Linked DNA regions of Stegostoma tigrinum. The protein of the gene in region 1 interacts with the protein of each later gene in a biochemical or structural test. Links are inferred from orthologs where the notes say so. Each region holds a gene or a part of one and is shown on either strand. Other genes may lie near its edges. The genes, in order: erbb2, erbin, nck2b and SH2B adapter protein 2-like.

What was found.
Region 2: the proteins of erbb2 (region 1) and erbin form a complex in vitro, tested with the Homo sapiens proteins (4 studies listed by BioGRID and IntAct, with this or other methods). The link is inferred for Stegostoma tigrinum from reciprocal best matches to the Homo sapiens genes ERBB2 and ERBIN.
Region 3: the proteins of erbb2 (region 1) and nck2b form a complex in vitro, tested with the Homo sapiens proteins (2 studies listed by BioGRID and IntAct, with this or other methods). The link is inferred for Stegostoma tigrinum from reciprocal best matches to the Homo sapiens genes ERBB2 and NCK2.
Region 4: the proteins of erbb2 (region 1) and SH2B adapter protein 2-like form a complex in vitro, tested with the Homo sapiens proteins (2 studies listed by BioGRID and IntAct, with this or other methods). The link is inferred for Stegostoma tigrinum from reciprocal best matches to the Homo sapiens genes ERBB2 and SH2B2.

The regions. Positions count from the first base shown.
Region 1 is NC_081384.1:1,011,709-1,019,196, reverse strand, and holds the start of erbb2 (receptor tyrosine-protein kinase erbB-2), read right to left. Parts: upstream 3,043-7,488; 5' UTR 2,962-3,042; coding exon 2,832-2,961; intron 1-2,831. Other genes in the region: pgap3 (post-GPI attachment to proteins factor 3), read left to right, coding at 3,395-3,584, 3,870-3,967, 4,244-4,396. UniProt on the Homo sapiens protein: Protein tyrosine kinase that is part of several cell surface receptor complexes, but that apparently needs a coreceptor for ligand binding. Essential component of a neuregulin-receptor complex, although neuregulins do not interact with it alone.
Region 2 is NC_081356.1:111,630,221-111,637,426, forward strand, and holds the start of erbin (erbin), read right to left. Parts: upstream 3,151-7,206; 5' UTR 2,497-3,150; intron 1-2,496. UniProt on the Homo sapiens protein: Acts as an adapter for the receptor ERBB2, in epithelia. By binding the unphosphorylated 'Tyr-1248' of receptor ERBB2, it may contribute to stabilize this unphosphorylated state.
Region 3 is NC_081359.1:64,799,195-64,807,220, reverse strand, and holds the start of nck2b (cytoplasmic protein NCK2b), read right to left. Parts: upstream 3,056-8,026; 5' UTR 2,940-3,055; intron 1-2,939. UniProt on the Homo sapiens protein: Adapter protein which associates with tyrosine-phosphorylated growth factor receptors or their cellular substrates. Maintains low levels of EIF2S1 phosphorylation by promoting its dephosphorylation by PP1.
Region 4 is NC_081380.1:2,456,154-2,464,025, forward strand, and holds the start of SH2B adapter protein 2-like, read left to right. Parts: upstream 1-4,719; 5' UTR 4,720-4,835; intron 4,836-4,918; exon of another isoform or gene 4,919-5,029; intron 5,030-7,872. UniProt on the Homo sapiens protein: Adapter protein for several members of the tyrosine kinase receptor family. Involved in multiple signaling pathways. May be involved in coupling from immunoreceptor to Ras signaling. Acts as a negative regulator of cytokine signaling in collaboration with CBL.

The DNA.
Region 1 (7,488 bases):
ATTTCTCAACCAAAAGTTAGCAACTCCGACAGCACAGCACCCTCTCTATATTGTACAGATACTTACCAATTGAACTTGCTGTGATATTTAACATAACCCTTATCTTGGGTTTCAACTCTACTTTCTCAATCACTCAATATTTCTCTGCTCTGAGAGACCAAAAATATGTTCAGCCTTAAATATATTCAACCACAGAAATTCCACAACCCTCTGGAACACGACTTGATGACTAGAATCAAACTCTAATAAGAAACCTGATCCTAGAATTTTGACAAATGAAATTTTACAAATAATGTGCCAATTGTCTCAGAGCTGGGCTTCTGATCCTATCTCCTTTCCATTACCAAGGCCACCTATCTGCACATTTGTAACATTGGCCACACCCACAGCCAAAATCATCAACAACACATTTTTTAGTTCTGGGTATAAAAATATCCAACAGACTTGCAATTGGTCTCATCTTCTGCCCTCTAATCACTCTACATCATCTGAAATTCCGTTCCCACAAAACTAATTTTCACGGAGTTACATCCACCAATCACCTCCACTTTCAGTGACTAATGTTGCATTGTCTCGCAGATCTGCTGCACAACCATTTTAAAATTCTCATATTCAGATCCAAAACAGTCGAGCACCTGGCTCCTACAAATCTGAATTATTTCCTTCGCATTTCCGATATCACCAAATAACTCACCTTTTCAAAAATAATAACCAACGACCCCAAGGGAGTGCCGAGGGAGCGCCGCACTGTCGGAGGGTCAGCGCTGAGGGAGCGCCGCACTGTCGGAGGGTCAGCGCTGAGGGAGCGCCGCACTGTCGGAGGGTCAGTGCTGAGGGAGCAGGCACTGCCGGAGGGTCAGTGCTGAGGGAGCGGGCACTGTCAGAGGGTCTGGGCTGAGGGAGCGGGCACTGTCAGAGGGTCTGGGCTGAGGGAGGGTACTGTCGGAGGGTCAGTGCTGAGGGAGCGGGCACTGTCAGAGGGTCAGTACTGAGGGAGCAGGCACTGCCAGAGGGTCAGTGCTGAGGGAGCGGGCACTGTCAGAGGGTCAGTGCTGAGGGAGCAGGAACTGTCGGAGGGTCAGTGCTGAGGGAGGGTACTGTCGGAGGGTCAGTGCTGAGGGAGCGGGCACTGTCGGAGGGTCTGGGCTGAGGGAGGGGAACTGTCGAAGGGTCAGTGCTTGGGGAGCGCCGCACTGTCGGAGGGTCAGTGCTGAGGGAGCGGGAACTGTCGGAGGGTCAGTGCTGAGGGAGCGGGCACTGTCAGAGGGTCTGGGCTGAGGGAGCGGGCACTGTCAGAGGGTCTGGGCTGAGGGAGCGGGCACTGTCGGAGGGTCAGTGCTTGGGGAGCGCCGCACTGTCGGAGGGTCTGGGCTGAGGGAGCGGGAACTGTCGAAGGGTCAGTGCTTGGGGAGCGCCGCACTGTCGGAGGGTCAGTGCTGAGGGAGCGGGAACTGTCGGAGGGTCAGTGCTGAGGGAGCGGGCACTGTCGGAGGGTCTGGGCTGAGGGAGCGGGCACTGTCGGAGGGTCAGTGCTTGGGGAGCGCCGCACTGTCGGAGGGTCAGTGCTGAGGGAGCGGGCACTGTCGGAGGGTCAGTGCTGAGGGAGCGGGCACTGTCGGAGGGTCAGTGCTGAGGGAGCGGGCACTGTCGGAGGGTCAGTGCTGAGGGAGCGGGCACTGTCGGAGGGTCAGTGCTGAGGGAGCGGGCACTGTCGGAGGGTCAGTGCTGAGGGAGCGCCGCACTGTCGGAGGGTCAGTGCTGAGGGAGCGGGCACTGTCGGAGGGTCAGTGCTGAGGGAGCGGGCACTGTCGGAGGGTCAGTGCTGAGGGAGCGCCGCACTGTCGGAGGGTCTGGGCTGAGGGAGCGAGCGCTGTCGGAGGGTCTGGGCTGAGGGAGCGGGCGCTGTCGGAGGGTCTGGGCTGAGGGAGCGGGCGCTGTCGGAGGGTCAGTGCTGAGGGAGTGGGCGCTGTCGGAGGGTCAGTGCTGAGGGAGCGGGCACAGTCGGAGGGTCAGTGCTGAGGGAGCGGGCACTGTCGGAGGGTCAGTGCTGAGGGAGCGGGCACTGTCGGAGGGTCAGTGCTGAGGGAGCGGGCACTGTCGGAGGGTCAGTGCTGAGGGAGCGGGCACTGTCGGAGGGTCAGTGCTGAGGGAGCGGGCCCTGTCGGAGGGTCAGTGCTGAGGGAGGGGGCACTGTCGGAGGGTCAGTGCTGAGGGAGGGGGCACTGTCGGAGGGTCAGTGCTGAGGGAGGGGGCACTGTCGGAGGGTCAGTGCTGAGGGAGGGGGCACTGTCGGAGGGTCAGTGCTGAGGGAGCGGGCACAGTCGGAGGGTCAGTGCTGAGGGAGCGGGCACAGTCGGAGGGTCAGTGCTGAGGGAGCGGGCACTGTCGGAGGGTCAGTGCTGAGGGAGCGGGCACTGTCGGAGGGTCAGTGCTGAGGGAGCGGGCACTGTCGGAGGGTCAGTGCTGAGGGAGCGGGCACTGTCGGAGGGTCAGTGCTGAGGGAGCGGGCACTGTCGGAGGGTCAGTGCTGAGGGAGCGGGCACTGTCGGAGGGTCAGTGCTGAGGGAGCGGGCACTGTCGGAGGGTCAGTGCTGAGGGAGCGGGCACTGTCGGAGGTGTCACCTTTCCGTTCACACTTGGCCTGATTGGGATCGTCCGGGCTCCTGATCGCTGTCGGTATTGAGCAGTGACTATACCTCTCTGCCGCAACACCCCTGCCCGCAGCGACACGCAATCTGAGGCCACGGCTGGATCACCGTCCCCACACTAGCTTCCTACTCTCCCCCAACCGCCGGAACACCGTCCCAGCCTTATCTCACCGCAGGCCTTACCTGGCCTCTGGGCCGCACCGAGCGCTGCGAGGAGCAGAAGCCCCGCGAGCCGCATCGTCCCGCCGGCCGCGCGAGCTCCACTTCCGGCCGGAGCGGAGTGGGGCGGGCTCCGGCGGTGGGCGGGGCACATGGTTGCGGTGGGGACAAATAGCGGGCGGGGCTTTTGGATTGTTCTACGGGGGTGGGGGAGGGAAGGAAAATGGTGGGGCTGTGTGAGACCGTGGGGCCAGCAATGAGGGCGTGGCTTGTCGTGTGCGTGGAGCAGGGATGAGGGGCGGGGCTTGCCGTGTGCGTGGGGCCGGGATGAGGGGTGGGGCTCGCCGTGTGGGTGGGGCACAGCTGTGGGGCGGGGCTCGCCGTGTTGGTGAGGCGAGGAGGAGCTTGGCCTTTGTGTGGGCGGGGCCAGAGAAAGGTGAGGTTAATGGCGCCGTGTCTGGCTGCGGAGAGGGCCCGGCGGTACGTTTACCCGCTGTTAGTGTGCCGGGGGCCGATGAAGGTGTAACGCAGTAATCCTGTTGGATTGTTGTACGTGTCCGTCTCTGGGATTCCCGCCCGCCTTGACGATGTGGGCTAATGCCTTGGCCTTGTACTGCTTGGGCCTTGCCGCTGTCTGTCTGCCTGCCGCCTCTTGCTCCCAGGGGGACCGGGAGCCCTACTACCGCCACTGCGTCCAGATGTGTGGGCGACACAACTGTACTGGAGCCCGGCTGCGGATTTTCCACAAACTGCAGCCCCTCTACATGATGGCAGCAGGTAAGGGCCACATCCCCCAGGGTACGCGCCACCCACCCCCCACCCCCGGACCCCGAACCCCGACTCTCGTCGGGGTTTCTGTCCGTTTTGCTTTCATTGCATCAAAATGAGTGGGCATTTGATCAAGAATTATTTTCCTTTGTTTCTTTACTCAGACTGAGGCAATGCCCGTTGATTCAACAGTTGTCTTTTCCCTATTGCAGTGGCCCTGAAGTTAGTTAATTTGTGGTTGAGTTGCTTGTTAAAAGTAGCTTGAATGTTGACCATGTCTCTTTCTACTGGCAGGTTGGAGTTGTGCTGATGACTGTCAATACAACTGTATGTGGCTGACAGTGGGACTGTACGTTCAGGAAGGACACAAAGTGCCTCAATTTTATGGCAAGGTGATGTGGGTGCTGCAGTAATTTAAATTATTAATTGATACTGACTTTGGTTGGAGCATTCAATATCTGATATTCCTGGGAACCAGTAAGACCACGAACCCTTATTGTGAACCCTACAATGACCACTTTGGTGTGACCCTGAGCCCCTTCACAAAAATATTGCCTGTAATTTGATGTTTCTCAAGACCATTTGTTGAGCCCCACCACCACCACTGCCCTGGCTAAGGATGCTGGATTGTTTCTTGACTGAACTAGTGCTTCTCTTTCTTTTTGCAGTGGCCCTTCTACCGATTTCTGTTCTTCCAAGAACCTGCCTCAGCCTTTGCCTCTATGCTGAATGGACTGGCCAACTACATGATGTTGGGCAGGTACCGGGCTGCAGTGCCTCTCGAATCTCCGATGTACCATACATGCATCTCCTTCGCCATGGTAATGACAATACTAAACTCTGCTGTTGTAAAAGAGTTGGTGTCTCTCGACAGTGCAGTGAAGAGATACTGTAGAACAGGAAGCAGACTGATACAGCCTGTTAGAGGTCCAGGAAAGCAAATCACCCTGAGTTTATCTTGCCTCCTCCTGTGACCACATGCATAGCTTTCCAGAGAAGTTGGGAGCTGGGGCTTGTTTGCAGTTTTAAATTTTTGCCCATAATTGAGGGTGTTTTCACGGAGAGATCGGTGTTGAGTCACCTCCAGCTTGTACGGTGCTGCTTTAAGTCCGAGTGACTTTATGAAGGTGTAATTAGTGCCTTTTAGATTTCTCCCAGTTACAATCTTGAATTGAAGTGCCAAGAGATTATACTAAATTTTTGTCAGTGATAGGTTTGACCCCTGCTGAAATGTTGTCCCATTCTGGGCACCGCACTTTGGGAATGATGTCAAGGACTTTTGCAGAGGGGATTTACCAGATTGTTTTCCCAGGGGTGAGGTATTTAGTTAATTAGGAGATGCTGGCACAGTTCTCCTTACAGCAGATTTGATAGAAATGTTGAATATCGTGCAGTAGCCATAATGTGTGAATATGTGAATTTGTCCAGAAAGAGCAAAGAAACAGCAGATTATCTAATAGGAGAGATTGCAGAACTCAAATGTTCAAAGCTGTCTTGTGTCCTGGTTGTTGAAGCAAAAGAACTATGCACGCATGGCAAGCCATTAGGAAGGCAAGTGGAATGTTGGTGCTTACTACAAAGTGAATAGGATATAAAAGTAGAACTGTTTCGCTCCAGTTATGCGTGGTGTTGATGAGACCACATCTAGAATACTGTGTAAGGTATTGGCCTTATCAGAGAACAGGTTCTACTAGATTTGGGGCTATATAATGTGGCAGCATTAATTAATGACCTCACAGTAAACCTAGAGGTAGCAATGATGACAATATGATTAAATTTTGTGTCCTGTTGGAAAGGTAAAAGTTAGTATAAGACTATATTTTAAACATAACTAAGAGTAACCATGTGGGTGTGAAAGCTGAGCTAGCTGAAGTGAACTGAGCTGAGCTATAGATGAGGGATGGATCAGTAGATGGCAGAAGGTCAGCTTTACAAATAAATATTTCATGGAATGATGGTTGCCATCACTTCTTGCCCTGAAGATGATTGTGGTGAGCTGCTTCCTTGAACCATCGACAAGATGCACAAGAGAAATAATCAAATCTCCTCAGACCATGCCTTACAAGCCCACAACTCTTATCTAGGAGGACAAGAGGAGCAAATTAATGAAAATACCACCATGTGAAAGTTCCCCTCCAAGCCACGCAACACCTTGGCTAGGATGTACAGTAAGTGTTGGAACTCCCTCCCTAATGGCATTGTGGGTATAGTTTCAGTAACAGTACTGCATATCCTAGCCAAGATGGTGGTTTGGAGGGGAGCTTGCATGCGGTGGTTTTTCCAGTAATCTGCTCGTCTTGGCCTCCTAGATAAGTGAGCTTGTAAGGCACTGTCTAAGGAAATTTGATAAATTTCAATAGTGCATCTTGTAGATGGTACACACTGCTGCTACTGAGTGCCAGTCTGGAAGTAGATGCATGTACATGTCGATTGAGCTGCTGTTTTGTCCTGAATGGTGTCAAGTTTCTTGAGTGAGTTTTGGCATTGCACTTATCCAAGTGGAGAGTATTCCACCACACTCCTGTCTAATGCCTTGTAGATGGTGGACAGGCTTTGGGGAATGAGGAGATGAGGTACTCCTGACAAGTTTCTAGCCTCTAACATACTGTTACAATCATACAGAAGATGCCTGTGGCCCACTAAGTCTGCATTGACAAAAATACCCAATTCTCACTAGACCCACTACCCAGCACTTGGTACGTAGCCTTGATTGTTACGTTTCATGTTCATCCAACTACTTTTTAAAAGTTGAGTTTTCCACCCTAAACAACCCTCCCAAATAGTGTTTCAGATTCCCACTGACCTCTAGTTGAACAAGATTTTCCTCAAATCTCTATAAACCTTGTGCCTCTCACCTTAAAATTATGGCCCCTTGTTATTGACCCTTCAACCAAAGGGAAAAGCTGGTTTCTTTCTACCCTGTATATGCCCTCCATAATCTTCTATACCTCCATCAGGTTTCTTCCTCTCAGCCTTCTTTGCTGCAAAGAAAAGGTGCTGTGCTTATCCAGCCTCTGTTTATTGCTGAAATGCACCGTCCGGGGCAACATCCTAATGAATCATCTCTGCACCTGCTCCAGTGCAGTCACATCCATCCTATTGTGTGGTGTCCAGAATTGCATTCGGTACTCCAGCTGTGGCCTAATCAATGTTCTGTACAGCTGCACCATAGCTTCCCTTCTCTTGTAAGCTATGCCAGACCTGATAAAGGCAAATATGCTGTACTTGGGCCTTAACTACCCTAATAACCTATCCTGCCATCTTCAAAGATCTGTGGTCAAAGCACCCAATATCCATCTCGTCCCCTGACCTTCCTAGCATCCTGCCATTCATTGAGTGTTCCCTTGTCTTGTTACCATCACCTCTCATTTATCAGGGTTAAATTCCAACTGCCACAGGTCTGACCAATCTGCCTATCCTTCTTGTAATCTAAGAATAGCACTGAATATGAAGGGGAAATGGTTAGATTACTTCTTGTTAGAGATGCCCCATGGCACTGTGACACATCCTAGTTTCCACTTACCAGCCCAAGCCTGTATATGTTCAGTGTCTTTGTGTTGGAACATGGACTGCTTCAGTAGCCGAGGAGTCAAGAATACTGCTGAGCATTTTGCAATTGTCAGCAAATGCCCCTACTTCTTACAGAAGGAAGGTCATTGGTGAAACAGCTGAAGATGGTTTGCTCTATTACCCTACCCTGAGGAGCTAAGGCTTAAGTGGTACAATGTCTCTATGCCAGTGCTTAAAGTGTGGGTTGAAGTTCTCCCCTGCTCCACAGATGAGCGATAACACTTGTGATCAGCTTGACTGGAAAGTATTGACGCAGAGTAACTCCTTTAGAAACATCCTAGAGCTGAGATGATTTCCCTTCTAATAGATACTAACATTTTCCTTTATGCCACTGATAATTTCA
Region 2 (7,206 bases), on another chromosome or scaffold:
AGGCCATTTCATCCATCACATCTATATTAGAAAATATTTCCAATTAGTCTCCCTGTCTTACTTTATTCCATAGTCCCGCATTTTTTTCCAAACATACATATACTCTAGTACAGTACAGTGATGGGCTTCATTTACAACTTTTTGCATTGAACAAGCACATGTCTGTTTCCAGTGGATCTACAATGACTTATCACTGTGGAGACATTAATGAATAGCTGCCATTCTCTTTTTTTGGGGGATGGATATGTGGTGGTCATGTCACTGGAGTAGCAATCCAAGACCCCAGGCCAACGCTCCGGTAACATGGGGTCAATTTCCATAAAGCAGATGATGAATTTTGATTTCAATTTTTAAAAATCCTGGAGTAAAACCTGCACAACGGCCACCGGGTTATGACTATCAATGTCATAAAAATGAGACTGGTTCACTCATGTTGCTCAAGGAAGGAAACCTGCTGTCCTTACTTGGTCTGGATAAAAGGTGATTCCAGACCTACTGTAATGCAGTTGACTCTTGATTGCCATTTGGGCCCAGGCAGTAATGCTCACATCCTGTGAACAAATAAAAAAAGACACCACCAGGTCTTCTGGCATAGTAAAACCCAAAAGAACTGTGGATGCTGTAAATCAGGAACAAAAACAAAGTTGCTGGAAAAACTCAGCAGGTCTAGCTGCATCTGTGGAGGAGAAAACAGAGTTAATGTTTTGGGTCCCGTTCTGAGGAATGGTCACCGGACCCGAAACATTAACTCTGTTTTCTCCTCGAAAGATGCTGCCAGACCTGCTGAGCTTATCCTGCAACTTTTCCTCTTCTGGCATAGTGGTTAGTGTTCCTGTGTCTAAGCCCAAAAGCTCTGGATTCAATTCCCGTTCCAAGGCTTGATAGCCAAACAAAGTGCATCTGTAATGTTGCCAAACAGATTGGACATTAAACAAAAACAAAAATTGCTGGAAAATCTCAGATGTGGCAGTATTTGTGGAGAGAAATCAGTTAATATTTAGGTGTGGTGAGCCTTCAGAATTGATGGTAGCTAGGAAAAGGATTTGTTTTATACAGAAGGTCGTAGGGGGGTATGGGAGTAAACATTACGTGGAGATAGACCCCAAAGAGAAGGATAAACAAAGACGTGGATAAATACCAGGCTAGGAGAATAAACAGCTGCTAACGGGAACTATTAGTAGTTAAGAATAGATAATGTCTGGTCGCAGCCTATGTTATGACAAGGCCTGGTACATTTTGGTGGTGGAAAAATGAGGAAAGGTGCTCAAGTTGTAAAATTGTTGAATTTGATATTAAATCCAGAAGGCTACAGGGTTCCCAAATGGAATAATCAAATATCAACCTGCAAATCCTTCAAACACATGCCAGTGACAGATGGCAAGGGCGGGGGACATTCCTGGCCGGCCATGTGACAAAGAACAGTGGAACCTCCAACATCATTAACCATTGATCCAGATCACAACATACAGTAAAAGGTACACATTGCCAGAGCAATTCATTAGTCTATGAGAACTGTAACACAGCACCACCACAAACCAACACTGCCACTTCACTCCTCCGTCCCTACATATGTACCTTATTATGAAAGGCTAACTACGGCAACTTGTTTATGCACATGCCTTCGGTTGTATTATAGCACTTCTACAAAGTATATTTCTGGGACTTGTGCATAAGCAGCAAACATTATTGTTTTGAAAGTTTTGATGACAGCTTCACACTCCAGTGAGTAACAAACCACAGAGCACCAAGATTCAGTTCAACTCTAAGGAACTGCAACTCAAAACCTTCAAACATACTTACACTCTTCTGTTAACTCAAAGCTACAGACAGCGACTTAATTTTGATCTCAAACCATTTGGGTAGCTGTGAAACCAACACATGCGTGTTTGCATGTACCTGTGCATCAAAAAGATGGATATAAAGACGGATATAAAGATCGACTCCGCGTATTTTCAACACTAGATTTTTTTCGGACCGCCAGCAGAAATTGAAAAACGAGGTCAAGGTTCCATCAGAAAGGGAGGGTTGGAATATGGGTTAACATTTGCTTCCTGTCATCCAAAAGATATGCCAGTTGCTTCTTCCTAATATCAAGCCACTTATCCGAGCAAGTAAATACAATATTTATCTTCTAACACCGTTACTGTGAACATGCCAGTGTTGATGCAATAAGCTGTTTCGGCTCAAGCCCTGAAGTTAAACAAAGGGATCTCTGTCTGATACGTTTAGACCTTGAACAGCGTCAACTGGTCAAGGTTTAAACACCTCGAATGCAAAACTTCCTTCTCTTCTCACCAAATAAACAATACTTATCTCTCGTTTGGATTGCTATGTTTTACACCGGGTTTGGATGTGTAGGTCATGACTGCTATCCTAGCACTACCTTTTTTTTTGGGGGGGGAGGAAGGTTGGTGTTAGAAAAGAGTGTGTAGGCCTTCCCTCCGAAGGCGAGCAGAAACCAAGCCGAAAACAAATTCCAAGCACAAGCCATTTTACCTTCACTCGCCACTGATCCAGACGGCCCGCTTCTTCATCGGCTTCCGATTTAAACTTCAAAACAATCCAAAGGTTCGATCCGGGGGTGGGGGGGGGGAGAGCTGGGCTTTATGTGGTATTCAGAGCCGAGGCAGGACCAAACACAATTTCTCCTTTTTTTTAAGGGGGGGTGAATATTAAAACAAAAAAGGAAAAACTCGCGAGCTCTCAACACAAGCTCTCCGATCTCTGTCGATGGTAGTTAGACCAATTAAATCTTCTGCGCGCTGAACTTTTGCAAGTCTTTCCCCCCCCCTCTCTTTCTTCCCCCCTCCTCTCCAATGATGCAACCAAGTCTCTCGCGGTTTGTCGTCTCGAAAGTAACTTTCAGATCCGTCGCTGAATTTAGAGGTTCGCACGCAAAATAAAGTAATTAAAATGGAGTAAAAGACGACAGTGGGAGGAGAGGGGGAAAATGTACCAAGTCCTTTCAAAGCAGGAAACGGCGGGCAATCGACAGCATTTCCCAAGACTCGATAAGTCAAGAAGAAAAAAAATGCAACAAGGGAGTCAAAAAAAGTCCCCTATCGCCGAGTTTCACCTTCAGGAAGGAGCTGATGTGGTTCTTCCTCCTGCTGCAGCTTTATTTTATTAAATAACTTGCCCCCCCCCCCCCCCCAACTCCGGCTCCTTTCTTACTGTAAGATTGCCGCACCCAAATCCATCCGAAATTAATTTCTTCACCCCCCACCCCCCTTCCCTCCCCTCCGTGTCTGGCTCTGTTAACGATGCAGACAGGATCACCAACACATCGCTCCAGGTTTTCGCGCAACTCCCCAGAGCCTCAGGCAAATGAAGAGAGAAAGCAGCCAGTAGAAACCACTGCGTCCTCAGCAGACACAGCACACTGACCGAGAAGGAGGGGTGTGTGTGTGTAGTTTAGGGAGGGAGGGGAGAATGTGAAGTGAAACACAGGCAGATATGCACCGACAAGATAAAGCAACAGCGCCAGCTGTCTCCAGCGGCTACAATGTCGCCTGGGCGCCCTGATTGACATTTCAAGCAACCACACGCTGCGGCCTCCACACTCCCCTGTCAATCAGCATCCCCAGTCCCAATCATCTCCTGCTCCTGGGTCAGGGGCGGTCTCTTCCACGTCTCTGCTTTAAAGTTTCCTTTCCTCTGGTTGGGTGATTTTTTTGAAGGGTGGAGGTGGGGGGAGGGAGGTGATGGGATTGAGGATGAGAATAGGGAGGGGCTGGAGGTGGGTTTATTAATATCATTTTCCAGCACACCGCCGTCCTCATTTGCACTAAAGTTGATGCTTTGGGGGAAGTTGAGGCCGCGAGATTGTGCCAAGTCACTTCCATTGTGTCTTTCTCAATCTCCCCTCCTGCCGGTTAATAATTTCCAAAACCGGGCTGGCACGCAAAAAAAAGCAATTTACATTCATACAGTGAGTTCTGAAGAGAATAATGTAATTTTTTTTCCAGTTTGCTTTACGAATCCAAATAAGATATGCCGTTGTCTTATATATGAGGCAAACCGCTTTTGAGAAGGACATAGTGACTGACTGAAAACTCATTCTTTTGGCACAGGCACAGAGTGGAACTTGTCGCACGGATTGAACGCCATTCTGTTTGGATCAGATTCATTGTCTGACTCGGCCACCACAACATCGGTTTGTAACACGGACACCACATGAATTCACTCATTTTATTTAACACTCTCAACTCCGAACTCGCTGTACCGTGCTCAAATCAATTTTTTAAAATTCTATTCAGTAAACAAAGACCAAGAAACAACCAAGTTTTGATCATGTCGGATTTGTGCCACATCTGTGATTTTTATCACCGGGCCATTTATATTTTTTTCTGTGACAAAGTAGGATATATCTTAAAGACATTCAGACACGCAGAAACCCTTGAATCGGTATATATTTAATTGATTTCTCCTTTCACAGATGTTGACTTGTCCAACGCGTGGAATCCGCTTTTGTTTAATATACTTCTCGCATGTAAAATGTGAATAGGTATAACGTGAAACTGAGACAAGAAAATCATGAGACTGTGCAGTCCGCGTCGAATTGATTCTCGTCTGCTTTATGAAGGGAGAAACAAATACGCTGTGTTAGTAAATACTGTCGCCTGGAAATGGGAAGATTCAAATGCAGTATCATCTGCTTGTTTGAACTGCTGTGATTCACAAATATATCACAGTGCAGTGCATGTTAGGTTCTGTTTTCCCCCCAGAAATGGAACCCGTTAAGCGTTCGAAGCTGACTGTGCAGCGCAATCTCTGAGGCAGTTGCTTTGGACCAACATGCTCCTTTAGTTTCCTCCGTGTACTATGTCGTGTTATCAGAATCTGTCTTCACAACCGAGACATCGGTGCAACCCTTCCTTCCTGAATACTTTCCTGTCTGCATCCTGCATAAGCTTCTATGCACGCATAATCTCAGATCTTCAAAAAGAACTGCGCTCGTCTTGCCTTGAACCTGCGCCATCGTGTTCAAGCAAGTTTCTGTCTATCGTTTCAATGTAGCTGTACTATGAAAGCATTAAGGGGTTTTACTCCATCATTTTGTAAATCAAAATTTAAAAAGAACTATTTGTATTTACATTATTAAACAGTTTATTTGTCTCAAAGCTATAAAACTGATTTTTAAAATTAGTTTTGTGAATATAGACCAGCACGATAAGAATGTTTTTTTAAACAGTCTGACGGTAATTTCAGAAATTGCCTTTGGGTAACTTAATATTTTCAGATAGAATCTGCTGTGTTCTGTAATCTATTCACAGAATGAGATCAATGCTGACAAAGCAGCTTTTATCTCTATCCCTGCCTTCCCTAACGATATGATCGCATCGTTCTCCTTGAACTACTGCAATCCCTGTGAGGAAGGTGTTCTCGTAACCGTGTTAGACATTTAGGATTTTTACCAGGTAATAAAGTTGGGAGGATGCATTCAAGTCAGGGTAGTGTGGATAAGTTGGAACTATACCTTGGCAGTGATGCAATGCTCTGATTATTCTGCACTTTTCCCAGAAAAGGTTTTTGGAGCCAGGAGGTTCTGTCGAAATAAGCTGAGTGAATGACTGCAATGTATCTTACATGTTGAGCATGATTATATAAATAAGCACAGAAGCACATTAGTGCAGGCCCCACAAATAAAGTCTCATGCTAGTCACTGAGAGGGTGAATTCTGAGCCTAGTTTCAAGGCTGCTGACCAAGCAGATCAGGTGGGGTTGACTTGTTTGAATGGTCTCATGGTAGCAGCCAATCAGATAATTGGTTCATCTTCTTCACAATCATCACTTCAGCCCGATAGATGGTAGAGTGGCTCTGAAGTGTCAAAAGGAGATTTGCAAAGTTCTTGACCTCTGCCTTGTTCTTGTAAGCCCTAGTTTAGTATATGGCCAGTTAAGAGATGATTCAAGGTGATTCCCAAGAAAAAATGTACAGTGAAAAAATAAGATCATAAGACACCAGATCAGAAATCAACCATTCAGCCCTTTGAGCCTGTTGCACTATTCAATCAGATTATCAGGTTGACCTGATAATCTTCAACTCTACCTTCCTGACTTTTCCATATAACCCTTGATACTACTGCATTGAAGATCAAAAGGAGATGGGTGGGCTCTCTCCTGCAAAAACATAGTTACCTGGCTTTTAATTTGTTTTTGCCAGGCCAAGCCCTTTGTATTGCCCAAATCCTGCAGTAAACTCGCCTGGTTGCTTCACAAGTAGAAGGTTTGTGAATGAACAGTGGCACAGCAGCTTAGTGGTTAGTGCTGCTGCCTCGCAGCCCGAAGCATTGGGTTTGATTCCACCCGCAAGCAACAGTCTGTGTGGAGTTTGCACGTTCTCCCCATATCTGTGTGGGTTTCCTCCAGGTGCTCCGGTTCCCTCCCACAGTCCAAAGATGTGCAGTGTAGGAGGATTGACCATGATAAATTGCCTGTAGTGTTCAGGGTATGTTTGAGTCGGATGCTCTGAGGGTCGGTGTGGACTTGTTGGGCTTGAAGGGCCTGTTTCTGCACTGCAGGGATCCTGCTGTGGAAATATTAGCAAATTGTCTTCCTCCTGATTTAATTACAGGAGGAAAATCATTTATGGAATTGCTGAAGATGTTTATGTTGAGAGTACTTTGCCTGAGGAATTCCTGCAGCAATTTTCTAGAGCTGAGTTCTTGATCTTGCATAATCAAAATTATCCTTCTGTGAGCCTGGTATAACTTTGGCAAGGGGAGCACTTTGCCCCAACCCCAGATGATTTGTTTGTTGAGATCCAGTGCCATATTTGGTAACCATATAAGAAATAGTAACAGGAGTGGGTTAGTCAGCCCTTTGAGCTTGCTCCACTTTTCAATAAGATCATGGCTCGTCCAACACTCCTCATGTCAATTTTCCTATCCTTTCTCCATAACCCTTGACTCCTCTCCTGATTAAGAATCCATCTCAGGCTTAAACTGAAATGTCAATGATATTATTTATATATAGGAAGCACACAAATATGGAATCTGTTTGTTGTCCATTAAAAATGGGAATATATGTGATTTTCGCTATATAGTAAAGATAGTTATAAATTCATATGAACCAACAGATGTTATCAAACTTTATTATAACTCATGGGTACTCCAATTACTGTGATATATTGATGTTTCAGTTGGTACAAAGTCAGCAAAAACAGACTGAAAAATACTGCAAAATCTCACTTCAGGCAATGTG
Region 3 (8,026 bases), on another chromosome or scaffold:
CACGAATTTATCATTTCCAGACATCAGTTGATTCCGGTGCCAAGCCAAGGGGACTGGTAGGTGTCCGAAAACAATTATGTCATCAAGCAGAGTAAACCACCAAACACACTAATATTCCCACAGATCACAAAACTAGTGAGTAAAATGTACTAAGATAATAAAATGTGAGGCTGGATGAACACAGCAGGCCAAGCAGCATCTCAGGAGCACAAAAGCTGACGTTTCGGGCCTAGACCCTTCATCCTATGGATGAAGGGTCTAGGCCCGAAACGTCAGCTTTTGTGCTCCTGAGATGCTGCTTGGCCTGCTGTGTTCACCCAGCCTCACATTTTATTATCTTGGAATTCTCCAGCATCTGCAGTTCCCATTATCTCAGTAAAATGTATTACATGCTTTCACTTATAAATAAAATTTTAGACGTCAAATGATTGATTGGCCCAGAAACGTGTGTTTAAAATAGAAGCTCAACTGTAAACATTCAATATATTTTTTAAAAAAGCAAAATGATGAAATTTGACACTCAATACAGAATTCATTTTTTTTCCCCCAGGGATAAGATGCTCAGAAGTAGTTATTAAGTAAACTGTTAAAAACTCAGTTATGCCTCATTCAAAAAAGAATTTTCAAGGCTATTTTACAGTGAAATTAGCAGCATAAGAAAATGAGTTTTGTTAATTCAGTGATTTTTACTTGTTACAATCTGGGGTCACATGTGTTCTACAGGAAAGCATAGCGTCACTGGCAGCAATTGTGAGATTCCTGTATTTAACTGCACAAACACACTCCAGAAGTTGTTAGTTTCAATGTCATTATTACAGTAAATCTGGGACAATGCAAGCTGAAATATAATGCAATTTCATGATGTGCCTATAAGCCTTTAGGTCAGCAAATAGTATGTTACAATCCCTATTAGATTAAGATAAAGAAAGCAATTTTAGGGAATTTAAGATTTTATTCTAGGTGCTCCCAGTTTTAAAACTATGAATTAACAATATGAATTGTTGTTATTTTAACCATATGCTTATCGTTAACACTCAAATGGCTTCATGAAACAGAATTAAGCTAGAAAACAGTGACATGCCATCCAAATTCATAATCTCAAAATGCAGTTTTGATAGTTTTAAATATTATTTGACTGAACATCTGATAATGCTTTTAATAGAGATCAAAATTGCAAACCTCTCCACAAAACTGCTTTGCTTCAATACTTATGATTTTTGCATAAATTAAATACTGAAGTCACTTAAACTCATGGAGCATCCATAGACCATGAGTGAAAAGAAACTTCTAAGCTATCGGCACTCCTAGATTGCAAGAGTTTTCACATCCTGAAATGCAAAATCTTTCACTTACATGTACCACAATCTCATTGCTAGTTTGAGGAACCACCTACATGCAAAGCATTTAACTGTCAGATTTCTACAAAATCTCATGCATCTCTTGAGATTAAGCACACAAAGCCACTAATTTTGTTGTTTCACTGGCTGAGAATACAAAAAGGGAATGGCCACAGAAGCTTGAATTTAAGCAAACAGCTATACAGACCATAACTGCACGGGCTGAAGATCCAGTCTTTATGAATTCCATTGCAAGCTATACTGGGAAAGGCAAATTAGGAATCATTGCTCTCGACTTCTTGAAATGCAAATTCCTCCTTTAAACACTGAGAAGACCAAAGGCATTACTTTGGACCTCTCTATAAGCTCCCTTCCCTCATTACCAGCTGAACGTAGCCCTCCTCAGCAAGTATCTGAAGCTGGACTAGTGTTGGGATCTCAGGTACCATACTTAACCTCTTCATCATGAAGGCCATCTTACACATACCTCTGTAACTCCTGTCTCAGCTGACAGTTCGAAATACTTATCCATGACATTACTACCCACATTGATCATTCATTCCAACATTCTCATATACTGCCTACTTTCTACCTCTTATCATAAACTTGAGCTATTGAGCATATCCATACTTGCATTAAATTCTAAATGCCTATCACTTCAGAATTTTAAATTCTGATTCTTATGTTCAGATCACTCCACAATCATTTACCTCCCCAATCTCAGTAACTTCTTCTAATTCTACAATGTTCTAAGAATTTCAGGCTCTTAAAGCACTTTCCCATTGACTTCATTCCACTATCAATAGTAATGACCTCAACTGTCTAAATACTACTTTCAAATTCCCTCCACAGAACTCTCAATGGCTTTTTACTGCTTTAATTCTCTCCATAAAATCTATTTCTGGGCTTAGTGTCTATTATGTTCCTGTGAGACACTTTGGGAGATATAGAAATGCAACTGCTGGAGTGTAGATGCTGGATCAACACTGTGTTGAACTACATTGGAAATAACTGACCAACGTGACATCTTGCCAACTATTAAAATCCAAACACAAACTCAGGAAAGTTCACAGAGGCACTTGTGAAACTAACTGTATCTCACCAGTAAGAAATAAAGGATTGCGGAGACGAAATTAAAATTAAAAAGAGAGGAAAAATAAAGCATGCATGTGGTCCAAGAGGTTCAAAAATGGACATAACTCGTTTGCTATCAAACCATCAATCCGGAATACAAAGCGGGTAGTGTTTAATGCATCAAAAAATTGGAAATCACAGCCCAACAAGTAATGTTAAAGCTCTGCTTCGTCAAGAAGGAAAAAAGAGAAGGAAATGGTCCATGTGAAGGAAGTTGTACTTTTTGGAGGTGGTGTGTTGCTTTTGTCTTTTTTTTCCTGAGGATGCTGCTTTCTGCTCTGCTCCGCACCTGAATGGTTACTGGGAAGCGAGGAGCCTCCAAGTTCGCCCAGTGACAGTTGTTGCCCGTCGCTGCCCCCCACCAATTACACCCCGGGCCATGCGCCATCGTGTACCGGGGGCAGGGCCCTGACACCGAGGCCGCCACCGCAGCGGCAGAGCCGGCAGCCCGCAAGCACCAGCACTCACCTCCGGCCTCTCCCGCTCTGCTCCTCTTCTCCAACGACTGTATATATCGTCCGTCCTTTTTTCCACTATCTCCTTTTCCTGCCAACGACTCCGAGCAGCCTCGATTCTCTCCTTTGCCCCCTCCTCTTCTTCTTCTTCTTCTGCCTCCTCTCTCGATCCCGATCCCGATCCCGATCCACTCTCCTCCCCGGATCACAGCAAATGGAATACGCCAGACGTGGCCGAGTGCGCAGAAGCAGAACCGTCTTTCCCCCGTTCCATCGCTGGGCAGGGTGCGCATGCGCGATGCCGTCCGTTTGCCCAGCGCTAGCTAAAAGGGAGGAGATGTTCGGGAACCGGCGAGTATTCCCTTTTCTTGGGCTTGCAATACATTCCTGATGTCTGTGTGTGGGGAACGCCATTTGCTGATCAATGCTGACCCCTCTTTAAAACTTCACCCAATTTTCTTCGACAGAATTCACACATGACACTTGCAGAGTTCTTCTGATTGTATCCCATACTAATAAAAGTTAAATTATTGTTTCGAAAGATGCAAATCCGAGGTGAGGAAGAAAACTTTTTCACCAAAGTCTTGGAAATCACTAGCTGAAACTGTGGCGGAGGCAGATTCAACTGCCGTGGTCCAGAGTATGATTATCTAACTATATATAAAGTGCACGGTAAAGAGGAAAATGTAGTAGTTTGACAGTAATCCAAAATGGTCAGAGAGCTGGAACAGCCACGATGGGTTGAGTGGCCTCCTGAATGGTAATAATTTTGTAATTCTGAATTGGACTTGGTGTTTGTGTTTCCCTTATATTGTAGGAGATTCAAAGAAGTCTCATTTGAATAAAGTTAGACTTTCACCTAAAGTTCTGCAGAGCAATTGGTTTAACATTTTTAAAAATTCTGAAACCTGGCTGTTAACACTCAGAATGTAGGAAAGCTCCACTCATGTGAATATTAGATATAGTAGAACTGGCTCTGGTGCCAATGAAATTTGTGAACAATTTAATGTAGAAGTTCAGACCTTTTGCCAATTGTTCAGTGGTTAAGTGAGTTGCCTGTTTTGGTACTGGGAACATAGAAGCAGGATTGGACCAATTTGCCACCATAAGTCTGTTCCACCATGCAGTTTGCTCATGGCCAAGTTTCATCTTGACTCCTTCGACCTGCAATTTTTCATAATTCTTAATGTATTTGCCTAAGAAATTTCAGAAATTTCAGTTTTAATTTTTTTACTCAATCTAAAAGGCAGAACGCCTGAATAATTTGCTTCTATATTGAGTTTTTAACACACCCCAATATTCAATTGTATTACTCTGCTATGAACATTGCTATCTTCAATTCATTGTCAAGCAAGATCATTTTCATTGCCATGATACACAATGTAATCAACAAAAGTTTGAAATAATCACACTTTTACACACAGCACGCTGGAGCTTTTTTTAAAATGTATTTTGTGCTGCAAGGTGTTCAATTGTTGCTTAATACCTGACTGTAGTACAGTAACGAATGATGTGGCATTCTGGATATACATGCCCATAACAATTTGCTTGCTAATTTTTTATTATCAATGTAATAACATAACACGTAAAGTTCATGGAAAGAAATAATAATGTTCAATGAGAAGCAGAACTGTTGTATGTGCAGGATTTCCTTATTCTTCTAGATTCAGTTTTTTTGGGACATGAGCTGTTACCTTGAGTGGACAAAATGCATAATGTAATTTTTAATACACTACAACCCTGCGTCTCTTGGTAAATGAGAATTGTTTTATGTTTTGAATGGTTTGTTTACAGGACATCAAACAATAACCTGAGCACAATGTGAACTTTCAACTCGGAGTAACATCTATGACATGTTTTAACTTTTCTGTTAATGTAGCAATGCTGCTAGTCATATGCAATGAGATTAAAGATTTGTTCACCAACTTAAAATAGTTCCCGTTGTGGCTTCCTGTACATTGGGGAAACCAAGCGGAGGCTTGGGGACTGCTTTGCAGAATACCTCCGCTCGGTTCGCAATAAACAACTGCACCTCCCAGTCGCGAACCATTTTAACTCCCCCTCCCGTTCCTTGGACGACATGTCCATCATGGGCCTCCTGCAGTGCCATAATGATGCCATCCGAAGGTTGCAGGAACAGCAACTCATATTCCGCTTGGGAACCCTGCGGCCCAATGGTATCAATGTGGACTTCACAAGCTTCAAAATCTCCCCTTCCCCCACTGCATCCCAAAACCAGCCCAGCTCGTCCCATCCCCCCACTGCATCCCTAAACCAGCCCAGCTTGTCCCCGCCTCCCTAACCTGTTCTTCCTCTCACCTATCCCCTCCTCCCACCTCAAGCCGCACCCCCATTTCCTACCTAGTAACCTCATCCCGCCTCCTTGACCTGTCCGGCCTCCCCGGACTGACCTATCCCCTCCCTACCTCCCCACCTATACTCTCCTCTCCACCTATCTTCTCCTCTATCCATCTTCCGTCGGCCTCCCCCTCTCTCCCTATATATTTCAGAACCCTCTCCCCATCCCCCTCTCTGATGAAGGGTCTAGGCCCGAAATGTCAGCTTTTGTGCTCCTGTGATGCTGCTTGGCCTGCTGTGTTCATCCAGCTTCACACTTTGTTATCTCGGATTCTCCAGCATCTGCAGTTCCCATTATCTCTGATCACTTTGTAACTTACCACTTAATTACGTCTTTTTATCAAAATTAGAATATCGTCTAAAGTTAGATGTGGTTTCGTTTAGAAGAAGTACAAAGGGATCTGGAAGTGCTAGTCCAGGATTCTCTAAAAGTTAACTTGCAGGTAGAGTCCGTGATTAAGGAAGCGAATGTAATGTTGTTGTTTATCTCAAGAGGGTTGGAATATAAAAGCAGCGATGTGCTTCTGAAACTTTATAAAGCTCTAGTTAGGCTCCATTTAGAATACTGTGTCCAATTTTTGGCCCCACACCTCAGGAAGGACATACTGGCCCTGGAGCGTGTCCAGCGGAGATTCACGCAGATGATCCCTGGAATGGTAGGTTTAACGTATGACGAATGGCTAAGGATCCTGGGATTGTACTCATTAGAGTTTAGAAGGTTGATGGGAGATCTAATAGAAACTTAGAAGATAATGTATGGCTTAGAAGGGGTGGACGCTGGGAAGTTGTTTCCATTAGGCGGGAAGATTAAGACCCGTGGGCACAGCCTTAAAATTAGAGGGGGTAAAATTAAAACTGAAATGAGACAACATTTCTTCAGCCAGAGAGTGGTGGGCTTGTGGAATTCATTGCCACAGAGTGCAGTGGAGGCTGAGACGTTAGATGCATTCAAGGCAGAGATCGACAAATTCTTGATCTCACAAGGAATCAACGGCTACGGGGAGAGTGCAGGGAAGTGGAATTGAAATGCCCATCAGCCATGATTTAAATGGCGGAGTGGACTTGATGGGCTGAATGGCCTTACTTCCACTCCTATGTCTTATGGCCTAACTCATGCTTTTTTATCTGAGTTGTCAATACCTAAGTCAGAATCAACATTTGCAAATAGTGTTTTCAGTACTTTGAAATATGACACATTTCATGGGATGATTTGCAAAACAGGCTTATCAGTGATCATTGATCTTTTTATATTGGCCACAAGAAAATGTCTGCATGTCATAAAGAGCTTTGTGCTTTCTAAATTGGCCATCACATTTCACCAGCACTTTATCTCCTGGTTTACATGGTCTGAATTGTATGGATCACGCTGTACTTATTTATATTTAATCCTTTGGTTCTTGATTGTATTCACATATGGCAGGCCAGTCTTCAGAGTGCTCGGTTTCTGGATTTCTCAATTGAAAAATAACCAGCAGCATGGTTTAAACAAGATAAAAGGTGATTTGTTCAACGAAAGTTATTTTGTTAAAATGTGATAAAAAAAAGTTATTGGCTAATACACTGATGCAAAGACTCAAGGTTAGTAAGGGTAAAAATTATGTCTGAATATGAAAATAAGGTTTGTTTCTCTTATCGCTGCAGGCATGGCTTGCAAGGTGTTCTCTAAACAGGTTGAAAACTTGGAGTCAGTTTCAGCATCTGTGAAGAACGGAATAGAACAGATCCTGGCAGTGAGCACAGACTGCTTTGTTTCACTTTTGTTGTCCTGCAGATTCAGACTCTTGACAATCTGATTTAGTATAACAATCCTGGATACCACCCTATGTCTCCATTTTTGTCTTCAGAAGATTCTGTTGAGATCTCAATGCAATGGGTGCTCACTTGTACACAGTTCAATATGTCAAAAAGACTGCCATCCCAAATTGTCAAATTACTCTTCCATATAGGCAGCACAGTGGCTCAGTGTTTAATATAGCTGCCCCCCAGTACCAGGGACCCAGGTTCAATCCCATCGTCAGGAAACATTCTCCCTATGTAAGCGTGGGTTTCCTCCAGGTGCTCCAGTTTCCTGCTATGGTCCAAAAATATGCAGGTTGGGTGGATTGGCCATGCTAAATTCTCCATAGTATCCAGGCATATGCAGCCTACATGAGTTAGCCATGGTAAATGCATGGTTACGGGAATGGGGTGGGCAGACAGGTCTGGGTGGGATGCTCTTCAGGGATCAGTGTAGCCTTGATGAGCCAAATAGCTTGCTTCTATAGTATAGGGATTCTATAATTAGACATTGGATTTCTCCCTTGGGAACATTTTTTTTGGTTAAAGTAATTTGTTTTATACCTATTTCAGCCATTAGTTTGGAAGGTTCTTGTTCTGTCAGATTTTTGGTGACATAGTAAAGTGATTTATATTGCCAGGCAAGCCACTGAAATTACTTTTTGTTTACATTTGAAAATGCTAACTTCAAAATAGTCAATTGAGGAGCTGTGCTTGCCGAGTAATTGCAAATAAAATGATAGGTCTCCTGCTTCCAAAACTTGTTCTCATCAAGTCACTTTCTTAAAGGTACACAGAATTTTCTTGACCTCTCCATTAGCTCTTGGAAACAAGGGTTTTTGATGAGTGAAGTCCACATAATTTACAAATTTATCAAACTCATTGCTGTGAAATGGAGATCCATTGTCACTTCTCACCATTTGAGGACCACTAAAACAAACCAAAAATCTCATTAAGTTTTGGGAT
Region 4 (7,872 bases), on another chromosome or scaffold:
AAATGAGAAATCAGAAGAGAATTAATAGTGTAAAGCAAAATAGTGGAAATAAGGCTGGAGGTAAGAGAAAAGGTATATAGACAGAAGAAGAAGTTCAGCTGTTATTGCAACTCGAAGCTAGACATTGTGGGGAAAAGCAGATTAATAAGAAAATAGCTGAAGGTTTAGTATCTAAAACAGCAAAACAGATTGCGGAAAAGAGAAGAGGTCTTAAAAACGTAATAAATAAAAGAGTAAAGGAGACTATGTCTAGGAGTAGTGATGGTGTAGAGTTGGAAGAGTTGACAAGTGAGAGTAATGAATTAGACGAATTGGGTCAAGAACCGGTGAAATTGAATAAGGAAGAATCTCTTGAAGTCCAAAGTTAATACACTGGATGAAATGTTAGATCAATTAGAAAATTATATAAGAAAAGGTAATCATTATGAGGTGAATAGGTGGATTGAAATGTGTACTGAGAGATTATTGGCCAAGGATCGAAAGGAGAATACCAGGGAAGGGGAAAGGAATAAAAATAAAATTAGTAAGGAAGGGAATATTCAAAGGAAATAGGGCCCAAAGGAGATATGCTATAAAGAAAGCTAAATTCCGTGCAAGTCAATTGTTATATAAAACAAAAAGAAAGCAACTTGCTAGGGAATTGATGGGAGCCCCCCCCACCGGATGTATTAATCAATTCACGGTAGAATATTTGACCGGTGTGTTTGAAGAAAAATTGGCTGGCTTTAATGATAAAGCAAATATCGCAAGGTTTAGACCTTACAATAGAAATAAGGATTATGAGAATGAAGAAGTTGAAACGGCCATTCGTGAATCCGACCCAAAAACTGCAGCAGGGGTCGACAATTGGGGGTTGAAAGACATTAAGGATATACACTTAACGAATGTCACTTGGCTCCCACGTCTCTTCACTGCGTGGTTGAGGACCGGAGTAATTCCTAAGGTATTGAAACAAAGTAGAATAGTACTAATACCTAAATCAGATGACCTCGATAGTCTTAAAGATATAGATAATTGGCGTCCTATTACAATAGGCCCGATTTTACTGCGGATTTTTACTAGAATTATGGCGAAGAGATTGAGTACGGTAGTGCAATTAAATATTAGACAGAAAGGTTTCTTGGCAGGGTCATCAGGGTGTTGTGAAAATATGATGATTTGAAGGAATATCGTTAAAGGAGCCAAGAAACTGGGTAGAGATCTGGCCTTTGTGGATTTGGCCAAGGCTTTTGACTCAATAGGGCGTAAACTACTTGCTAAAGCATTACAAAGGGTATCGCTGCGAGAGATTTTATTCAGTTGATGGTGAATCTTTATACTAACAACACGGCAGTGGTGGAGGGTAATAAGTTTAGAATGCCCCCCCATAGCAATCAACTGCGGTGTGAAACAGGGGGATCCTTTATCTCCTATGTTATTTAATATTGCGATGGACCCTCTGATTAGTACGCTTGAGGAGCTGGGAACGGGAGTATCAATGGAGTGGCAGAGTGAGACTGTCCATTGTACCGCATTAGCCTTCGCGGACAACATTGCTCTGGTGAGCAACTCTCATAGGGGTATGGTAAATAACCTGAAGATTGTACAACGATTCTGTGATAACACTGGCCTAAAAATTAATATTTGAAAAACAAAAGGCTTCCATTTCCAACATAAGAATAAAACATTTTTATATAATCATATGAAGGAATGGACTCTAGGAATTGGAACTGTGCAATATGTCAACCCCGGAGAGTATGAGAAATATCTCGGAGCCATGATTGATCCGTGGATTGGTGTGCGGTTGAAAAACGGGGAAGGAATTCTGGAAGAATGGACAGCAAACCTGGGGAAAGCAACTCTCTGATCGTTACAGAAACTAGAGATTTTTCGTTTATATTTCATACCTCGGCTGTACCACCATTTGGTTCTGGCGGAAGCATCGCAGAATTTGTTAAGCAAGTTAGACTCTTTTATTCGTGATTTTATAAAGGATATTTTACATCTGCCATCACATATAGCAAATGGGATAATTTATGCCCGCAACAGAGATGGAGTCTTAGGGATTCAAAGGCTGGAGATACAGGTCCCAATTGCAATTTTAAAGAAAAGGGTGGCGTTGGAGATGACAGATGACATGGTTATTCCCGTGTCATTTCAGTTTTGTCATGAAAGGAATATTGATGATGTTAGAGAACTGATGAAACTGAAGACAATGCAGGAAGTATGGCCGGTCAGGTTGGAAGAGCTAGACTTGGAAAATGAGAAAGTAGGGACAGTGAAAAGTCTGAGCTCGAACTACCGGGACTGGAGGAAGGTCGAATTATATAGATGGGAGTCATTACAATGCCAAGGATTGGGAGTACAGTACTTCAAGAATGATGATATCTCTAATGGGTGGATAAGAATGGCCTCGAATATGAAAACATCAAAGGTGATAAATACCTTACTGTTGCGTGCTAATGTCTATCCCACACGTACAACATTAACTCACGGGCAACCTCTCTGCAATAAGAACTGCCGGAGATGTGATACTTCAATAGAAGCGCTCCCTCATATATCGGGATGGTGTCCGGCAGTTAAAAATATGAGAATTAAAAGGCATAATAAAATTGCAGAAAGACTATATAAATTCATGAGTAGATATGGATGGAGAACTTTTGTGGAACCCCGAATAAAGGAAGCAAGTGGTAAAGTGTGGAAACTAGACCTAATTTTCCAGAAAGATAGTAAGGTTGTGGTTGTGGATGTAACGATATGGTTTGAAAATAATGAGGATGCCCTGGAAAAAGCAAGGGAGGAGAAAATTTTAAAGTACAGGCACTTGGCGAATAATATTAAGGAGATGACAAAGGGCGAGATGCCTGAATTTTATTGTTTTATAATGGGTGCACGTGGCAAATGGACCTTGTGGAATACTAACCTTATGGAATGTCTTGGTATTAAGAAATTCCGGATGTTTGCCCAAAAGATATCCAGATTAACCATCTCATTGACTCTGGAACTTTTACAGGTTTTTAATGACATGTTAAAGATTATCTGGACTCCGAAAAGCTCTGATAAGCAGCTTGCAGATTTTAACTTTTTAGTTTTAAGTGTGTGATTTATTTTATTGCATGTTTTTAAGTTTTATTAGTTTTATTGAATTTTAGATTAATTTTAGTGTGGTTTTATAGAGTTGGTATGATTTTAATAAAGTATAGTATTTTAGTCACAGGTAATGGTGGTGGGTAATAGGGTGTTTAATACACTTTTTCTTCCAACACATCAGATGATGGAAACAAGTTAAACTTGCTAACCCCTGATGTGTCTCCCCACTCAAGATTCCCGGCCTGGAATTCTGCCACATGATAGGAAGAGTCGTTCCCTGCATAAGATCTATAGAGGAGAGCTAGATGGTAGAACTAATAAGACGCATCGACGGGCGACGTAAAAACTCGGAAAAGGCACTGACTGAGACAGTGTAATCAATAACCTGAGCCACTGGGTGCTTGTTCAGCCATGTGATGTTAACCAAGAGCATTAGCCTGGATTTTGATTTTCCAATTGGCAGCATTAATGTCATACTGACTGGCTTCCAGTACAATTTATGGTGCAAACTTCAAATTGATGCCCCTTTTCCTCAGACCAATGCTTTCAGTCTGGATCACAACACTCTATGAAAGCCCATTAAAGAGTCAGAGAAAAGCAATTGTAACATTGAAGAACCGGCCAATGAACTGGCAAGATTTGTGGTCTTGGGAGGGCAATTCTGGTCCAGAATTTTTTTATTCAACCTGTTCAGGAATGTTACGACTTACCTCAGGAGCAGGTGAGATGTGTACCCAGACCTCCCGGCTCAGAGGTAAGGACACTACCACGGTGCCACAAGAACCCATTCAATTCCGGTCCACATTCAGGCAGGTGACCTCACTTGACCTGGCATCTCCCCTCACTCCTATTATTGGTCGCCCTGAAGCTAACTAGAAAGGAAACATTCTCCACTGCCTGCTTGGATGAGTCTGACTGAGTTCTATCATTTTCAAAACAAAACTTGCCCAGCTCCCAATTGGTTTTATTAAATCGTTTAGGAAATATTCAAAAGAAAGGGAAAGGAGCTGTAAAAGTTGATAAATGGCAATCCTGGTGGAAGGGTAATCCGAATTTCCATGAATCCTCTCTCCTTCCCTGATTTCCTGGAACAGCCAGGAACAACTGGGCAGCAGGACCTCCTTGGCTGAGCCAGATACCTAATCACCAGGAATACAGGGGAATCTGGAAGCCTGCCTATTGAAACATCAGGGAATTCTACCCCCAGTATCAGGAATCTGACATGAATCTCACTTGGTAGTGACTCTTTACAAGCGGGTTAATGGATTGTATCGATTTACTAAAGGCTTGGACACTGAGGATGGCTTTCTACCATGACCAATACATCAATAGGTCGGTCTCGGCAGATGGGAATCATCAGACAACTGGCACCACACATGTTGCTTTGGTAACTCAGACACAGATTGGGAATCAGCTGGGGAGACGTTTACAATGACATCTGAGGTGAACACTACTCACTGGCCCTGAGCATTTGGCAAGCACTTTTTGTTTCAAATTAAACTTTTTTTTGTCAGTTGCCCCCGAATTCCTCAGCTGTGATATCATTAAGGAGGCAGCTGTTTCGTGCTAAGTGAGTGAGAAGAGAGAAACACCCGCCCCCAAAAGCCTGGACTGGCCAAGATTTACATCCCAGCAGTGCGCAGGACCGAACTGAAACTGACAGGGACATCGTACAGGAAATTAACCAGCCCCGGTCATCGCTGGGACAAAAACAGCTGGCAGAAGCGGGAGGACGGCAGTGCAAACATCTGGAACCTGCTCTGGGCGTGAGTAAACATAGAACAAATAGCGTCGTGACACCATTATTGTATCGTAAAGAGGCGAGATAGCGGAAAAGGCTATGATGTCTCAGTAGTCATAGTTACAATGTGGGAGAGCAGCCTGCCTCCATCTGTGATGCAGTTCCATCTTGACAGGGATGGACGGGAGGGGAAAAGCGTGGGATATTGTAACAATGTGGGTGAGTTACCTCTTTAAACTGTGTGCGGACTGAAGTTCTGAGGCTGGGATTCGCCCTTAACCGCTGGTCACACAGGGTTAACCCCAAATTTAATTACTTCCCCTTCTTTCCCCCACCCCGACGCCCCCGCGTAGACATTAAGAATCAGTAGAAGACAGGAACCGATCAACATTGAGGTTATTGTTCTCCTGAAACAAGATTAACTGCATTCAAAACGAAATATTCCAAACATGCAGGAAACATCTCAATGAATTTGTAGAATTAAGGATGGTTTTATAACGATAATTGTTGAAAAGGACCCAGGTGCTGACTACGGATCTATTTGAAGCTGTACTCTTGGTCAAATTCTTTGCTATTTCTGCCTGCTAATTTTCTGATTTGTTTTCCTGAACTCTTGAAACACACGAGGTGATAGTTTTTGGAGGGCGGCTGATCATGTTAATGGATAATTTTACATTCCCAACAAAGAACAATGACTTCACCATTTCCTTCAAACCTCTATTTGCACCAATGCACCTCCTCTCTAACTTTGTGTGGGGATGGGGAAGAGATGGGTGTGAGACAGTTTTATAAATCCTGATCTATTTGTATTGATAGGAATCTCCTCTTGTGCACTGGATGTTGAATATGTATGAAAAGATCTTTCAAATGCCCTTTCCTTGCCCCTTCCTTTTACCCACTCCGGATCTATTTCTTTGACGTGCACTCTCTCATGCCCCTCATCTGCGTTTACTGTAAAACTTTCCCTTTGTGTAACTTCTGTTTTTTTTTCTTTTAATCTCTCCATCTTTCTTCTACATCCTCCTGGATAGGCACACAAAATGTGGATGATAGAAAGAGCTGGAAGTTAAGCTATAATTATATAAAGATCTATTGTACTGCATTCAATTCCGATTTCTGTATATCAGGAGGGATATAATGGCCTTGGATAGGATGAGCCTGATTCAATAAAATGATTTGATGCTAAAAGGACAAGTTGAGGAAATTAACCTTATATTCCTTTTTGATGAATGAATATTAGACGGTGATCTATTTGTATGGATTTGAAACAATTTTTAAAGGATTTGGTTGAATAATTCAACAGAAACCATCCATGGAGTCCATAACAAGACCTTTACAGCTGGAGCTAGACATTTCATTTAGTAGAAATTTCTAATTTTTTTTTCCCCAAAAGCAGCTGAGGTCAGAACAATCTTCATTGATGTTGGTGGATTTTATTAGGACAGGGGATGAAGATGAGGAAGTTGGGTGGATGGAGAAAGCAGAGAGGAAGATCAGCCGTGGTCTATCTGAATGATGGGATATTTTTGAGGGGGTGAATTGATATCATCCTCTTCCTATATCCTTCTGCCGCTTTTTAAATCTGTGCCCTCGTTTGGTTTCTGTTGGCAATCTTAGTGTCAATGTTGACCCTAAAATGAGCTTCTGACCACTGAAGCCAAACATTTCCACCTCCTGAAAAGCCATTGCCAGATCAATTACAAGCTGGAGTAGGTTAATCATTCCTTCCATTCAATGTGGTCATGGCTGTTGTGGTTACAACACCACTTTCCTTTAGCCTGTCATCCTTGACAGTGTTATCTATTAAAAATTTGTCCAACTCAGCCTTAAAAATATTCAATGACTGATTTCTGAGGAGGAGAATTCCACAGACTCTAAATCCTCAGAGAGAGAATTTCTCTCCCCCTCTCCATCTCACATAGTGTGGAAATTAAACATTTTGGGATCCCCTCTTTTTTGGAGGGGAGGAAAGTAGTTAAAAAAAAGAAATATGTTGGATGCAGGCTGTACAATTGGAGCTCTTTGTTGTGACCTGTTTGAGCACGGTCACTTCTGGGCTTAACGTACTCACAATGTCCAAGTTTGGCCCTGTCTCAGCTTATCTGCTGCTGAAATCCACATCCATGCCTTTGTTATGTCTAAACCCAATTATTCCAATTCACCTCTGGCTGTTCTCTCCCATCCTACCCTCTGTAAAATAAGATCTATCAAACCAGTATCTTAATTCACATCAAATCCCTTTCAACTATTTCCCCTGTACTCACCAGCTTGTTGGATTTCGAAGATCTGTGTCGATTTTGATTCTCTTCCCCCAGGGATTGGTCTGTGTTGCTGCTAAACTTCTGATTCACTCACCATCTAAATGACTTTCTCTAGAATCTTTGTAGTGCCATTAATATGACAGACTCATTAGTAATACCTACAACAATTCAGTCTCCTCTTGAATTCTGATCTTAAATCCCCATGGTCGTGTCTCTCCACAAAACTGTAGAAATTGTTGAAAGAAATTGTTTGTTGACTTCTCAGGTGTGTATCCTTCTGACACATTTTGCTGTAAGATTTTAAAAGCTATGATGTGGAAGGAACTGCGAAAGGTTTTCGATATCTTTTCGAGTGTGCATCTTGCTGCTTTTCACTCTCGGCGAGCAATACATCTTCTGCTGTACTCCCAACTGGTATACAAGAGTGTATTCACTTCATTTGTTCAGTTTCTGCCTTTGTACTTGGTTTCGAATTTATTCTGAGAGTAAAGAATTTCTACTCCAGAATGTCCAATTTTGTTTTCTTTCTCTCCCCATCTCTGAAATTAAATTTTGATAATGCTATTCCTGATGCCATGGATTCCTGATATGATTAGGTATTGTATCATCTTGTTTAAAACAAAAATATTTATTTTGCAGTAGTGGCAGTTCTCCCTCGCTTTGGTGTTGTGCTGGAAGGTTTTCCTGTTCTTTGCCACTTGAGGACTGATTAGGAGTGGCTTTGTGCAAGGGAATCATGTCTCTCAAACTTAATTGAGTTTTTTTTGGAGAAGTAACAAAGAGAGATGATGAGGGCAGAGC